2 linked regions of the Stegostoma tigrinum genome follow. The protein of the gene in region 1 interacts with the protein of each later gene in a biochemical or structural test. Links are inferred from orthologs where the notes say so. Each region holds a gene or a part of one and is shown on either strand. Other genes may lie near its edges.

Evidence for each region.
Region 2: the proteins of CCAAT/enhancer-binding protein beta-like (region 1) and cebpg form a complex in vitro, tested with the Homo sapiens proteins (2 studies listed by BioGRID and IntAct, with this or other methods). The link is inferred for Stegostoma tigrinum from reciprocal best matches to the Homo sapiens genes CEBPB and CEBPG.

Annotation. Positions count from the first base shown.
Region 1 is NC_081372.1:39,758,231-39,765,672, reverse strand, and holds CCAAT/enhancer-binding protein beta-like, read right to left. Parts: upstream 3,097-7,442; 5' UTR 2,753-3,096; coding exon 1,829-2,752; 3' UTR 579-1,828; downstream 1-578. UniProt on the Homo sapiens protein: Important transcription factor regulating the expression of genes involved in immune and inflammatory responses. Also plays a significant role in adipogenesis, as well as in the gluconeogenic pathway, liver regeneration, and hematopoiesis.
Region 2 is NC_081369.1:65,875,931-65,883,728, forward strand, and holds the start of cebpg (CCAAT/enhancer-binding protein gamma), read right to left. Parts: upstream 3,021-7,798; 5' UTR 2,714-3,020; intron 2,696-2,713; exon of another isoform or gene 2,572-2,695; intron 1-2,571. UniProt on the Homo sapiens protein: Transcription factor that binds to the promoter and the enhancer regions of target genes. Binds to the enhancer element PRE-I (positive regulatory element-I) of the IL-4 gene. Binds to the promoter and the enhancer of the immunoglobulin heavy chain.

The sequences.
Region 1 (7,442 bases):
TAGTTCATTAATAGTGTGCTACGGAATGACAGACCCAGTACCTTGCTACCTTGAACAATGGGGCATTGCATTATGTTGGAAACTGCTATCAATGCTCTAATGTGCTGATTAGCAGACGTGGCCTGGTGCCCCCAGCATTGCCTAGCAGAACAAGTCACTGTGTTAGTACGTCAGCATATTGTGCTGGAGGGAAGTATAACATGAGCTAGGGCACTGACAGATGAAGCTGTAAGAAACTTTGACAATGTGAGAACATTGCAGGACTTAAAACTGCAAACAAATTAAAACTGCATTGACACACAATGCTGCAGAATGGTAGGATAATGTGATATAACCACTGAAGATTGTAGCAGAGGGGTTAATTGCACGAGCATGCTGTGCTGCACAATTGTGAATTTAGGATCTAGCTCTGGGATCTCCCAAACAGAGGCGCCAAGTGCACGAAAACTATTTGCCCCAAGGACAAGTGGAGGTTCCAGGGCTACCCTCAGCGAAAATTAATATGGGTCATATTAAACATAGGATTTCCAATATAAACCTAAAACAGACACGAATCAATAACAGCAGCGAGGCAAATATTTGCGTTTCACTAAAACTGATTTTAATTCAATTTTAAAAGAGAAAAATAAATACAATATTGCTCATTTGATAAAAAATAATTTCTATTCCTTTGACCCACAATCAAAGTTGATATAAAATTGTAGCATCCCCTTACGTGGTAATTTTAGAATGAAATCTTTAAAAAGGGCAGGCGGTCCCTCAAATGAATAGTCTCTTTAATAACTGACGTAACACTGAATCGCAATAATCGACACAATTCATGCACAACGTCTTGTACAATCCACCTGAGATGACCTACTTTAACCGGTTTAGAAGTTGACTTGCTTGAAAAGGGATACTACAGCTTTAGTCAACAATCACCACATATTCCTAAAATGCAAATAACTGTACAATTTTCACCCAACATTGTACCCAATTTAAGTGTTGCATGGAACAGAATAAAATGTTCTTCAGTACACTTCCATGCTGTGTCACCGCTGGAGTGACGCAATTCAAATGAAAACATTTCAGCAAACTGCTGAAAACATCGCCTTTCCGTCACTGAACCACCCAAATATACAGTTCATTTTCACAAAATAAAAGCAAAGGGGAAAAGGAGACAATACGACACATGAAAAGATAACGTCTAGTTCAGAGCAACAGCCTCCACCATTCTTTTGGGACGGAGGCGACTGCACCGGAGAAATTACAAAACGGCAGTTTTTTGCGTCAAAAAATAATACTTCTTTTAAAAAAATTCAGAAATGTACATTAATGTTGTAACGCGTCTCAGTAGGAGCACGAACCCCCAGCCTATACACAAGAGAAGTAAAGAAATATATATTTTTGGGAGGGGGAGAAACTGGGAGAAAAACCCCGAAATATTTTGTAATAAAAAAACTGCTGTCATCTGACAATTACAAATGAATCTCACACTTGGCAAGTTACACGCTGTTGCGTCATGTGTTTCGACTGAGAAAAGTCACAGTTAAAGCACGGCATCATTTTATATACATTGCTGTATAAAACCCCGCAGTGCTGGTTTCAAGAAACATCATTCATCCCTCTCCCTGCCGTTGTAAAATGCATGGGTTAAGGTCATCTAAACGATATACAACCTCGCTTACTGCAATGTGCTGTAAACACAGAGAATCCTCTATATACAAAGAGTCCTTTTGATCAACTCCTTTATGCAAAAGAGTCACAATATCCGTTGCTTTTATATATATTATAAAGGCGAGAGAAAGAAAATAAGAATCTATAAATATTGGGAGCTGTGCAGTCAATGTCAGCAGTTGCTGGACGCACTGAGCAGGGTATGCTCCGGGAGCTGTTTAAACAAGTTTCTCAGAGTTGCCAGCTCCCGGCTGAGCTGTTCCACTCGCTTCTGGAGCCGCTCGTTCTCGGCGGTCAGTTCCAGCACTTTGTGTTGAGTCTCTACATTCCTGAGCTTGGCCTTGTCCCTGCTCTTCCGCACCGCGATGTTGTTCCTCTCCCTCCTCAGGCGGTACTCGTCGCTGTGTTTGTCCACCAGCTTTTTGCTCTTGTTCTTGGCGGCCGCTCGGCTGGAGTCGGCCGAGTTCGGGGTGGCCGGAGGGGTGGTGGATGAGGACAGGGACGAGGTGGACAGGTTGCTGTTGCTGCCGCTGGCCACGCACTGGTACTGCAGCAGCGGCCTCACGTACGAGGAAGAGGAGGCGGCGGCCGCCGCTGCTGCAGGCTGCACTGACATCCCCCCGCCAGCAGCGGCCTCTTCCTCCCGGCTCTCCTGCTTCACCCCTTTGCCGTCCGGGCTCTGCTCAAACACCGGCTCCAGCCGAGTCTCCAGGAACTGCGGGGTGCAGCTCAGGATGTTGCCCTGGTGCCTGGCGCCGGCCGACGAGCTGCGCATCATCGACAAGTAGGCGTTGTAGTCGGGCAGGGATTTCTTCTTGTACTCGTCTGACAGCATAATATCCGTCAGCAGGTCGCTGCCGAGCTCAAAGTTGCCCCCTGCTGCCGAGGCGGTGGCCGGGTCGATGTATGGGCTGAAGTCGATGGCACTCTCGTTGTCACCGATGCCCAGGTCTGTCATTGAACGGTCGCGGTGCAACTTGTTCGGGGAACAGTCCGACTCGTAGAAGTTGGCCACTTCCATCAAATTAATGTAGGTCGGAGCCGTCTGGAAACATGGCGAGTCGCAACGCGAGTCCCAGCTGGTCAGACTTTGCATGAAAGCCGTGGTTGCAACAAGTGGAAGAAGGGGTTACTAACCCTTCACGAAAATAAAACCGGGGAGTGGGTGGGTTGGGGGGGGGGGGGCAAGGTGCGAGTGCTCTCGTTCAGCACCAGGTCCTGTCGATCGACCACGTAACTCTTATCGCAGAGGCACTGTCCTGAAAAGCTGCGCGCTCTCTCTGTGTGCTTTTAGCTGAGTTCAGAGCCTGTTTGTCTTGACTGTGCTGAAGTTTGAAGCTGCTGGAAGCTCTCGCCAGTTCTTATATTTATAACCACATCGCTCCTACCATTGACGTCAGCTGGCAGCCTGCCATCACCTCCAACCTTTTTTTTCTCTCACTCCTCTCTGCCAGAGCGAGGAGATGTGGCGCCGTCCTTTAAAACATGTAATTATTATTCCTGATATCTGCCCAGAAATGTTTTCGCCTTTGCAAATCAACCTCATTAAAACGGGCGGAGTGCGGAGCAACCTCTCAATCAGCCTGGGCAAGACAGCTTTTGCAGTGCAGGTTGGAATAGAAGTAAAACGGGTTTTCAAAGCATGGATTAGCTCCATTTTAAATCGATGTCATTGCATTTTGTGAGGAGAGCTGGCTCTTCGGCGTTACGTGAGCGTTTTTATAACGAAGCATTAGCCAGCGTTTAATAATTACTTTCAATCTGTCAAACCAAATTCATCCAAACCCTGCGCTCCCAGGTGAAGAGAGGTCTAAGGAAGGAGTTTCCGACGTTACGGTCACTGTGACTTAAGTTCATGCCAGCAGTGGAGAGATTAAGAAACTGGGCAAATGCACAGAATTAGGCAAGGTTGTTGGAAAGTGGGATGGGTTGGAGAGGAATTATATGACAAGGAGGACTATTTTGGTGGGATTTGAACATGATGAGACATTTAAAATGGGATCTTCCGTGGTCTGCAAGCAGAGGAATGATTGATGAATGGGACTTGATGTAAGTTACCGGCAACGAAGATAGATTTCCAGAGGGAGGGGGATGAAGGCCCTTGTCCTGTAATCCATCTCCAACCCATCCCACTTTCCAACAACCTTGCCTTTGTGAATCCTGTGCATTTCCCCCAGTTTCTTAATCCCTCCACTGCTGGCATTAACTTCAGTCACAGTGACTCAAACTCTGAAATTCCTTCCTTAGACCTCTCTTCACCTGGGAGCAGGGTTTCGATGTCTGATTTGAAATGCAGGAACAGTAGGGGACGAAAGGGAAGCAATAACAACATCAACAGGAGGGAGTTTGGCAAGGTAGCACTTGAATGAAAATTGAATCATATTGTGAGAACAGAAGGTGGGTCTCACAAACAGAATATGTTCCGATGTTTAGGGGAAAGAAGCTGGCGAATGATGCAAGTGCTGAATAAGACCAGGTAAAAAAAAGCTCGGAGCTGTTTCGCTTGGTGGACATGAGAGAGGAAGGAAGGGATGATCTCAATCTTACTGACAAAAAAAAATCCAAAGAACTTCTTGTTCTTGTGGCCCTTCACATGTTGTTAACACCAAAGTGCACCATATTATAGTCTAAGAGAGCTGTGTGTTTTATGCGGTTGCTTACTGGGTAATACGTTGCCCTATTCTTTACTATTCTATTTACTAGAAAGTATTTTAAAACTCATCCATTGAACTGTCTCCAAAATCATCAGACATTTTTGTGATTACTTTCTGAAAGTACTTACACTTGCTAAGACACAACTCACAAGGATATTTTTTAAATGAAGAAATATTTTTCTCTATTTCATTATGGAAGTAGTGTATTTACTTTTCACTCGATGGAAGGACCTCCCCTTTGAGACTTGCAGCACTAAGAATAACTTCTAATTTAATTTTAGAATTAATATTATTGTTATTATGGTAATGCAAGATTATGATGAAATGCAATGTTAATGAGTTACCATTTTGTTAAACTTTAACTGTCATTTGGTTTTAGTAGTTCAGTCACAGTGGTTGCATTTGATAAATATTCAGGTTTTACCAGTACAACAAGAAAACATTGACAACAATTTATAACCAGAAAACTCAGTTACATGTGAGAATAAAATGAGAAAAACAACTTGATTTAGTTTTTCTTTTGCTTGGTGATATTTATTATTTTACAGCCAATTGTGTTAAATGTAAAAATATAACATTTGTTATTTAAGGTTCTCTAAACTCTCTGAAAATATATTTCAAGAAATGCCAATTTAATTTTTATTTATATACAATTTTATTAATATGATTTGTTACTGTATACACAGGTATATATGGAGTTATATGTGTAGTAATTATAGAATACATTTAAGAATAAAACTGTGGATGACTGAACATGATTTTTATAATTTGCATATATTCACCCAGGCGCATGTTCCTCGATATATAAATGATATATAAACTGTAAATGAGTATGGTTTGCAGATTTTGGTGTGAGAAAAACACTATTTAATTATTTCTTAAGTGTTTTGCGTCAAATTAATCATATATTCTTCCCTAATTAGAATTAATCCATCCGGTTTCCTTGGGAATTTGCACTCTATAGAATAACTTACTTCATTAATCACTGCCTGAACTTTTTTTTCCTTGGTACTGCATGAAGTTTGCTCAGCAGAAGGCTTATCGAGCGGACACACCCATACCGACACCTACTGGGCATATGCTGTCACTGCATATATTCAACAAGACCCGGAAAAAGAAATGTAGCGTTTACAGGACCCCAAAGAAACTCGCATGGGATGGAATTTGGAGTCCAGCGACTGTTTTATAAGTCAACATTTTTTGCGAATAAACAGTCAACGGGGGGAATGACCAATTAAGTTGTTTTTGGTAATGGCGTTGCAGAAAGAAATGCTGACCAGTATCCAGGAGAATGCTTTTTCCAATTTGAATATGACAGTCAAGATGTATCACATCCGAGCTGTCCCACCACTAAAGGTTTGAGTCGTTAAAGTGAAATGGTGGGAAACTTTCAGCCTGGAGAATGCAGAAATTTGAAGATTAGCTTGATTCATTCAAAGCCGCATTTTATCCTTTGTTGCCGTGTAAGTAGTAACATGGGACGTGAATCCACAAATATTTAAGTCTTAAGCTAGGTTTTAAAAGAAGTGAACTCTTTACAGAAGTGGCTACAATTCCAAATTTTTGTAGTTTTGTCTTTTAACTATTAGAAGCTACATAAATGTATATTCCTTTAGAATCTAATTTTGATTGTGAAGTTGTTCAGTGATTCTAGGGCCTAATAACACAAAGGAACCACAACGAAAAGATCATTACGGATCAGAGCTGCCTTAACCTTTGTTTTTCAGGCTCCCTGTGTACAAAAATTAAAATAATCAAGATTCTAATCGTATTCCATTTGAAGGAAATATGTACTTTGGAGTACACAACTTGGAGACTGGATCAACTGGGCTTGTAGTTGCTGGAATTTAGAAGAATGAGGGGGAATTCTCATAGACACACATAACATCTCTGTAGGACTGGACACACTAGATCCAGGAAGAATGTTCCCAATGATGGGGAAGTCCACAACTAATCTAAGAATAAAGTGGTAAGCCATACAGGACTGAGACGAGGAAGAATTTCTTCACTCAGAGAGTTGCAAACCTGTGGAATTCTCTCCCACAGAGAGCTGTTGGGGCCCTATATTCAAGAGGGAGCTGGACATGGCCCTTGCAGCTAAAGGAATCAAGGAATATGGAGAGAAATGGGAAATAGGATACTGAAATTGCATGATCATATTGAATGGTGATACAGGTTCAAAGGACCGAATGGCTGACTCCTGCAATATTTTTGGAGGTTTCTATGCTCCTAACTTTAAGAGTTGGATACGTGCATGAACCATCATAGTGTAAAAATCAACCTGAGGTACCTAATTCCAAAACCAAATTTATATACAGTTACAATGTAGTTTGATTATTCACTGAAACTAATCTGTACTTAGTTCTGATCATGTTATGAAAACTGACTTTTGAACATTGCTGTGCATTTTCCAAAGATGGGTTTGACAATGGTATATTTGCTATAAATTACTACGTAGTTGAATGGTTATGTATATATGGCATGCATAAAAGATCAAAATGGAATATAACAAAGATTTTTTAAAATATTTTTGGATGATTTGCCTGGATTTTTTTTATAAAAAGGTATCTTGCTGTTATTTTTAAGATTGGTCAGGTAAAAAGAAGGTTAAGTTTAGAAATTCACCATTTATGGGAGCACTATGATAGTTCAGTATATATTTATTGAGTCTTATTTAAATAAAGGTACCTTAAATATTTACAAAAAATATTTTTCAATTAACAAGTTGCGCACCTAGACTAGCCAAGCTGTATTAGCCGACTTGATTGATGTGATATAGAACCTGTGAGGCCCTGTCATTATATAAAATAGTAAAGGCAAGTACAATTATACCATTTAAAAAACATTTGGATGGGTATGTGGAGAGGAAATGCTTACAGGAATATTGAGCAGATGCAGGCAAATGGCACTAGTTCAATTTAGGAAATTGGTTGGCATGGACAAGCTGGGTCAAAGGGTCTGTTTCCGTGCTGTATGACTCTATGACTAAAATATTGTCAAAAGCCACTTTATATCTGTGTGAACCATAAAGTCATAATTGCCACTCACATTTTAAATGTCAAACATTTTAAATGGGATAACAGGGATAATATGCTGCTTGAAGTTAACTGGGAAATAAATACTTGTCAATTA
Region 2 (7,798 bases), on another chromosome or scaffold:
GGCGGACCGAAGATGGAGAGTAAAGAAGATAGGTACCAACCTCAGGGAATCTCTCTCCCATTGCAACTCTCTTGTAATCTCACCTTCTCCACCTATCTTCTTTACTCTCCATCTTCGGTCCGCCTCCCCCTCTCTCCCTATTTATTCCAGTTCCCTCCCCCCATCCCCCTCTCTGATGAAGGGTCTAGGCCCGAAACGTCAGCTTTTGTGCTCCTGAGATGCTGCTTGGCCTGCTGTGTTCATCCAGCCTCACATTTTATTATCTTGGAATCTCCTGCATCTGCAGTTCCCATTATCTCTGATACTATCTTCTCCTCTATCCATCTTTGGTCCCCCTCCCCCTCTCTCCCAATTTATTTCAGAACCCTCTCCCCATCCCCCTCTCTGATGAAGGGTCTAGGCCCGAAATGTCAGCTTTTGTGCTCCTGAGACGCTGCTTGGCATCCAGCTTCACACTTTGTTATCCAACTATCTTCAGCCAGGAGTGCCAGTCTTCAGTCAATTTGATTCACTCCACATGGTATCAAGAAACATTGGCGGGGGCGCTGGATTCAGCAAAGGCTATGGGCTCTGACAATTATCTAACAATAGTGCTGAACACTTGTCCAGAACTATCCTAGCCAAGCTGCTCAGTACAATTACAACACTGGCATCTACCCAATAGTGTGAAAAATTTCCTTGTACAAAAAAAGTATAAAGCCAAACCTGCCAATGACTGCCCAGTCCACTCTCAATTATCACAGTAATCGAAAGGGTTGTTGACGGTGCTAGTAAATGGCACGTGCTCCATAATAACTTGCCCAGAATTGACAGGTTCTACGAGACTCAAAACTGTTTCTCTCGCTACCGAACTGCTGAGTTTCTCCAGCAACTCCTCAGAATCTCACAGTACAGAAAAGGCCGTTCAGCCTATTGTGTCTCTATCAACACTGACTCCATAAATGCACAGAAATCCCACTTTTCAGCACTTGGCCAGGACCCTTGAATTTTATGACATTTCAAGTGCTCATTCAAGTATTTTTTAAAAGTTTGAGGTTACCCACCCCCAACTAACCTCCCAGACAGCATCATCCAGACTCCCAACACTGTCTGTGTTGAGGGAAGAGGGAGGGGGGGGGGGGGGATGTGAGGTGGAGGGGGGTGTTTGGGGGGAGTGAGAGATGGAGGGGGGTGTTTGGGGAGAGTGAGAGATGGAGGGGGGTGTTTGGGGGGAGTGAGAGATGGAGGGGGGTGTGTGGTGGTGGGGTTGAGAGGTATTGGGGGGGATGTCGTGTTGGGGGGGGGGGGGGGGGAGTGTGGAGTGGATGGGTCATGAGGAGGGAGAATGCGGTGGGGCGTGTGGGGTGGAGGGGTTGTTTGGGGGGGGGGTATGAGGTGGAAGGGGGTGTTTGGAGGGGTGTGAGGTGTCAGGGGATGTAGGGTCGAGTGGGGTGTTTGGAGGAGGTGTGGGCTGTAGGGGGTATGCGGTGGGGTGTGGGGTGTTTGGGGGGTTGTAAGATGGAGGGGATGTGAAGTGTTGGGTGGATGTGGTGGGGGTTGGGTGAGGTGGAGGTGGGATGTGCTGGGGGGAGTGAGAGATGGGGGGGATGTTTGGACAGGGTGTTGGGTGGAGGGGATATGAGGTGGGAGGGGACGTGCTGGGGGGGTGTTTGGGAAGATGTGAGGTGGGGGGGTGTTTGGGGCAGTGTGGGATGTTTGGTGGGGGGGGGGGAGGTGGATGGAGGTGTTGGGGGGGTGTGAGGTGGATGGGGGTGTTTGGGTGGGTGTGGGATGGAGGGGGGTGTTTGAGTTGGTCTGTGGGTTGTAGGGTGGAGGGGACTATTTGGGGGGGTGGGGTGAAGGGGGGCTGTGAGGTTGGGGGGGGAGGGGTGTGAGGTGGGTGTTTGTGGGGGGCAGTGTTGGGAAGGGGGCGTGAGGTGGATGCTGGGAGGGGGGTTGGAGGTTGTGAGGTGTTGGTGAGGGGGTGTGGGGAGGAGGGTAAGGGAGGAGGGTAAGGGGGGAGGGGAGGGTGAGGGGGGGTGGGGGCGATGGGGGGAGGGAGTGTGAGGGTGGTGGGGGGTGAGGGGGAGGGGTGGGGGGTGAGGGGGAGGGGAGGGTGAGTGGTGGGAGGGTAAGGGGGGTGGGGGTAAGGGAGGGTGAGTGGGGGGAGGGTAAGGGGGGTGGGGGTAAGGGGGGTGGGGGTAAGGGGGGTGAGTGGGGGGAGGGTAAGGGGGGGTGGGGGTAAGGGAGGGTGAGTGGGGGGAGGGTAAGGGGGGTGGGGGTAAGGGGGGTGAGTGGGGGGAGGGTAAGGGGGGTGGGGGTAAGGGAGGGTGAGTGGGCGGAGGGTAAGGGGGGTGGGGGGTAAGGGGGGTGAGTGGGGGGAGGGTAAGGGGGGTGGGGGTAAGGGAGGGTGAGTGGGCGGAGGGTAAGGGGGAGGGGAGGGTGATGGGGGGCGGGGGTGGGGCTGCGAGCGTGAGCGACGGTGGGACTCCTCCCCTTCATTATTATTCCAATTTACTGGACCCCGGGCCTTCGGACAATCCCTGCGCTCCCTCCCCCGGTTCCCGTCCCGCCTGCAGTCCCAGGCCTTACCCGCCGCCGATACCGCCGCCGTTCGATGCCGGTGATCCCACCCCCTACGGCCGGTCTTTCTGGAGAGGACCAATCAGAAGCGCACATTGTTCGGCTGACGCAATCCCCTTCTTGATTGATAACCTCTCTAGACAATACGTACCCGGTATTCTGCAATGATGTCATGATGCTATAATGGACAGTACTAGAAGCCAATCAAGTGGCAACGCGGTTGACGGGGTGGGCCAATAGACGACCGGTATTGCGTTGGCGTGCCGCCCGCTCTGATCGTCAGCGCCTGGAGCTAATCATCTGCCGCAACCGGAAAGAACCCATCAGAGATAATGGGAACTGCAGATGCTGGAGATTCCAAGATAATAAAATGTGAGGCTGGATGAACACAGCAGGCCAAGCAGCATCTCAGGAGCACAAAAGCTGACGTTTCGGGCCTAGACCCTTCATCAGAGAGGACCTATGCCCGATTGGTGAATGATGTAACCAATCAGAGACGAGGCGTGCACAAGATTGTCCCGCCCATTAGTGGAGACACGTTCCAGCACATGGGGACACTAACAAAGACACCTGCATTTGTGTAGCGACACATCGCTTGTCAAAGTATTTCACAGTCATTGAACTACGTTTCTAGTCCAGCCACTTCTGTAATGGAACAAACGCAACAACCTATATGTACGTAGCAAGCTCCCACGAATGGCAATGTGATTTAAAACCATTGGCCACTTTTCACCCCAAGCCTGGAGATGCTGGTGTTGGGCTGGGGTGGATAAAGTCAGAAGTCACACAACACCAGGTCATAATCCAACAGGTTTATTTGAAATCACACAGTTTAAGGAGTACACCGCACCTGACCAAGGGGCTGCGCTCTGAAAGCTTATCTGATGCCACACAAACCTTTTGGGCTATAACCTGTAACTTCCAACTTTGGATATTTTCAAGGATATGCTGCACTTGGACATAGACTGTTTTTGTTATACCAACAAGTAAAAGCTGTTCCACCTACTTTAATCTTCCCTAATGCCTGCCAAATTCTGATTCCAGAAGCAAATCACAGTAGGGTAAAAAGAGTCAAGGTGGATTGTGTGCTGCCAGTCATTCAGCTCCTTACCCTACATAAGGAGAGGATCCTGACTTTGCTTACATCAAGCAGATCCAGGACTGCTATATGACACTGCCTTTTACTGACTGTGCTGTAATGACATGGCCAGGCCATAGTAATATGAGCCTGGTGAAGCTAATATAATATTCCTGTTTAAGAAGGGAGGGGGCAGAAGATAGGAAACTCCAGGCCAGTAAGCCTGAGCTTAGTCATTGATAAGATTTAAGAGTTTATTATTAAGGATGAGATTACAGAGTATTTGGAAATGCAAGGTAAAATAGGGCTGAGTCAGCATGGCTTCATCAAGGGGAGGCCATCCCTGATAAATGTGGTAGAATTCTTTAAGGAGGTAACGAACAAGTTAGACAAAGGAGAGCCAGTGAACGTGACCCACTTGGATTTCCGAAGGCCTTTCACAAAGTGCTGTTCAGATGGCTGCCGAACAAGATGACAACGCTAGGGACAAGGTACTGGCACGGATAGATGATTGGCTGACTGGCAGAAAGCAGAGAGTGGGGATCAAGGGATCTTATGACAGATTGCGACTAGTGGAGTTCTGCAGGGTCTGTGTTGGACCACAACTATTCACGTTATACATTAATATCTGGACAAAGGAACTGAGGGTGCTATTGCTAAGTTTGCAGATGACATAAAGATGGGTGGATGGACAGGTACATTTTGAGGATGCAGGGAGGCTGCAGAAGGACTTGGACAGGCTATGCAAATAGGTAAAGAAGTAGCAAATGGAATACAATATGGGAAAGTGTGAGGTTACGCATTTTGGTAGGAAGAATAAATGGATAGAATATGTTCTGAACAGGGTAAGGCTTTGGAAATCTGAAGCACAAGGCAACTTGGCAGTAGTTAAGTCTGCACGTGGCTCGACTCAGACTTCATTTGGAATATTGTGAGCAGTTTACTGCCCTGTATCTAAGGAAGAATGTGCTGGAGTTGGAGGAATCCAGAGGATGTTTACAAGAATGATTCCAGGGATGAAGGACGTGTTATATGAGGAATGGATGAGGACTATGGGTCTGTACTTGATGGAGTTTAGAAGGATATGGGAAGAATCTGATTGAAACTTACAAAATACAGAGAGGCGTGGGTAGTATGGATGTGGAGAAGGTGTTGTCACTAGTAGGAGAGACTAGGTACAGCCTCAGAATGAAGAGATGACTCTTTAGAACAGAGGTGAAGGATAATATTTTTCAGCCAGAGGGCGGTGACTCTGGAACTCATTGCCACAGAGTTATATGGAGAGCGAGTCATTGACTGTATTTAAGACAGAGATAGATAGGCTCTTGGTTAGTAAGCGGAATAAAGGGTTACAGGAAGAAGGTATGAGAATGGGATTTAGAAACACATCAACCATGATTGAATGGTGGAGCAGACCTGATGGGCTGAATGGTCTAATTCTGCTCCTATGTCTTATGGTGTTATGGCTATGCGTAAAAAGGCAAGGCAGGGACGCTATGAGCATCCATATAGGCTCAGAGTGAGTAAGTGTTTCTAAGGTTTTGGAGTAGATCTGTAGCTCGGGTTGTGGGTGTTAAGGTTAGTTGGCTCGCCGAGCTGGTTTGTTGTTCTACAGACGTTTCGTTACCGTGCTGGGTAACATCCTCAGTGCAGCCTCTGATGAAGTGTCGCTGTGTTTTCCCGCCTGGTTTTTAAACCTCTGATGTCTGTTGTGATGGATTGCCTCACTTCCAGGTTTTCCCCCATAGTGGAATGTATATGGGGTCAAGTTCAATGTGTTTATTAATAGCCTGCTTCGTAGAGAGTGCCATGCTTCCAGGAATACTCGTGCTTGTCCCTGCCTAACCTGTCCCAGGATCTTGGTGGTATCCCAGTCAAAGTTGTGGTTCTCCTTGTCCACGTGGATTGAGATGAGTGAGTATTGGTCGTGTCTTTTTGTAGCCATTTGGTGTTCATGTGCTCTTGTTGTTAGTTTCCTTCCTGTTTGTCCGATGTAGTGTTTCTCAGTCCCTGCAGGGGATCTTGTAGATGACATTGGTCCTGTCCATGGTGGGGAGTGGGTCTTTAGTTCAGGTGAGCACTTGTGGTAGGGTCGATATGGGCTTGTGTCCCACTCTGATGCCCAGCGGTGGTAGGAGTCTTGAGGTGAGTTCCAATGTGTTTCTGACGTAGGGTAGTGTGATGTGTGTCAGGGCGTGCAGTATCTTTCTGATGCTTAGATAATAAAATGTGAAGCTGGATGAACACAGCAGGCCAAGCAGCATCTCAGGAGCACAAAAGCTGACGTTTCGGGCCTAGACCCTTCATCAGAGAGGGGGATGGGGGGAGGGAACTGGAATAAATAGGGAGAGAGGGGGAGGCGGACCGAAGATGGAGAGTAAAGAAGATAGGTGGAGAGAGTGTAGGTGGGGAGGTAGGGAGGGGATAGGTCAGTCCAGGGAAGACGGACAGGTCAAGGAGGTGGGATGAGGTTAGTAGGTAGCTGGGGGTGCGGCTTGGGGTGGGAGGAAGGGATGGGTGAGAGGAAGAACCGGTTAGGGAGGCAGAGACAGGTTGGACTGGTTTTGGGATGCAGTGGGTGGGGGGGAAGAGCTGGGCTGGTTGTGTGGTGCAGTGGGGGGAGGGGATGAACTGGGCTGGTTTAGGGATGCAGTAGGGGAAGGGGAGATTTTGAAACTGGTGAAGTCCACATTGATACCATTGGCCTGCAGGGTTCCCAGGCGGAATATGAGTTGCTGTTCCTGCAACCTTCGGGTGGCATCATTGTGGCAGTGCAGGAGGCCCATGATGGACATGTCATCAAGAGAATGGGAGGGGGAGTGGAAATGGTTTGCGACTGGGAGGTACAGTTGTTTGTTGCGAACTGAGCGGAGGTGTTCTGCAAAGCGGTCCCCAAGCCTCCGCTTGGTTTCCCCAAAGTAGAGGAAGCCGCACCGGGTACAGTGGATGCAGTATACCACATTGGCAGATGTGCAGGTGAACCTCTGCTTGATGTGGAATGTCATCTTGGGGCCTGGGATGGGGGTGAGGGAGGAGGTGTGGGGACAAGTGTAGCATTTCCTGCGGTTGCAGGGGAAGGTGCCGGGTGTGGTGGGGTTGGAGGGCAGTGTGGAGCGAACAAGGGAGTCACGGAGAGAGTGGTCTCTCCGGAAAGCAGACAGGGGAGGGGATGGAAAAATGTTTTGGGTGGTGGGGTCGGATTGTAAATGGCGGAAGTGTCGGAGGATAATGCGTTGTATCCGGAGGTTGGTAGGGTGGTGTGTGAGAACGAGGGGGATCCTCTTGGGGCGGTTGTGGCGGGGGCGGGGTGTGAGGGATGTGTCGCGGGAAATGCGGGAGACGCGGTCAAGGGCGTTCTCGATCACCGTGGGGGGAAAGTTGCGGTCCTTAAAGAACTTGGACATCGGATGTGCGGGAGTGGAATGTCTTATCGTGGGAGCAGATGCGGCGGAGGCGGAGGAATTGGGAATAGGGGATGGAATTTTTGCAGGAGGGTGGGTGGGAGGAGGTGTATTCACTTTCTGATCTTTCTGATGCTGTTCGTTTAGGCATCTCCTGACCCAGTAAGTGTTGTGTTCTGAGTAAGTGTAATGACAGCAAGCTCATCGAGATGAATTCTGGTCCAGTCTGTGAGCTAGGTGTCTGAAATGTCTTTGCTGTGATATTAGAGTGATAGTTGCTGGTGTGGCCTGAGGTGCAAAATTGAAGCATTGGGGATGTGCCACGAGGGTTCAGAGAGGTTGGCACATGTTGAATTCCATTGTCTGAGGATGAGGGGTGTGTGGGGTGGTCAATGCCTATGGAGCGTGCCAGAGATGCTGGTTCCTGGTGCCCAACGTAGAGGTTTTTTGGAGCTGGCAGTGAATTGAACATACTAAGAACCCATTGATTTCCATGTAGAGTTTTCCTGATGGTAGTTTGATAAGACTGCAACTGATAGCACATTGGTATGTTAACAAGTTCTTTAATAAGCAATAATGAGCGTCAATTGGGAACTTGTCGCTGTCTCATGAGAATCTTGCCACACCGCTAGAGAAAAGCAAACAAAATGCAGCAAGGTGATCTCTATATTGAGATGTTGAACATCCCACTGTAACTCATGTCATTCACAGCCTCTGGTTCTGATCAATTTCTGTGGCTTCTGCAGGTTTATTGTTA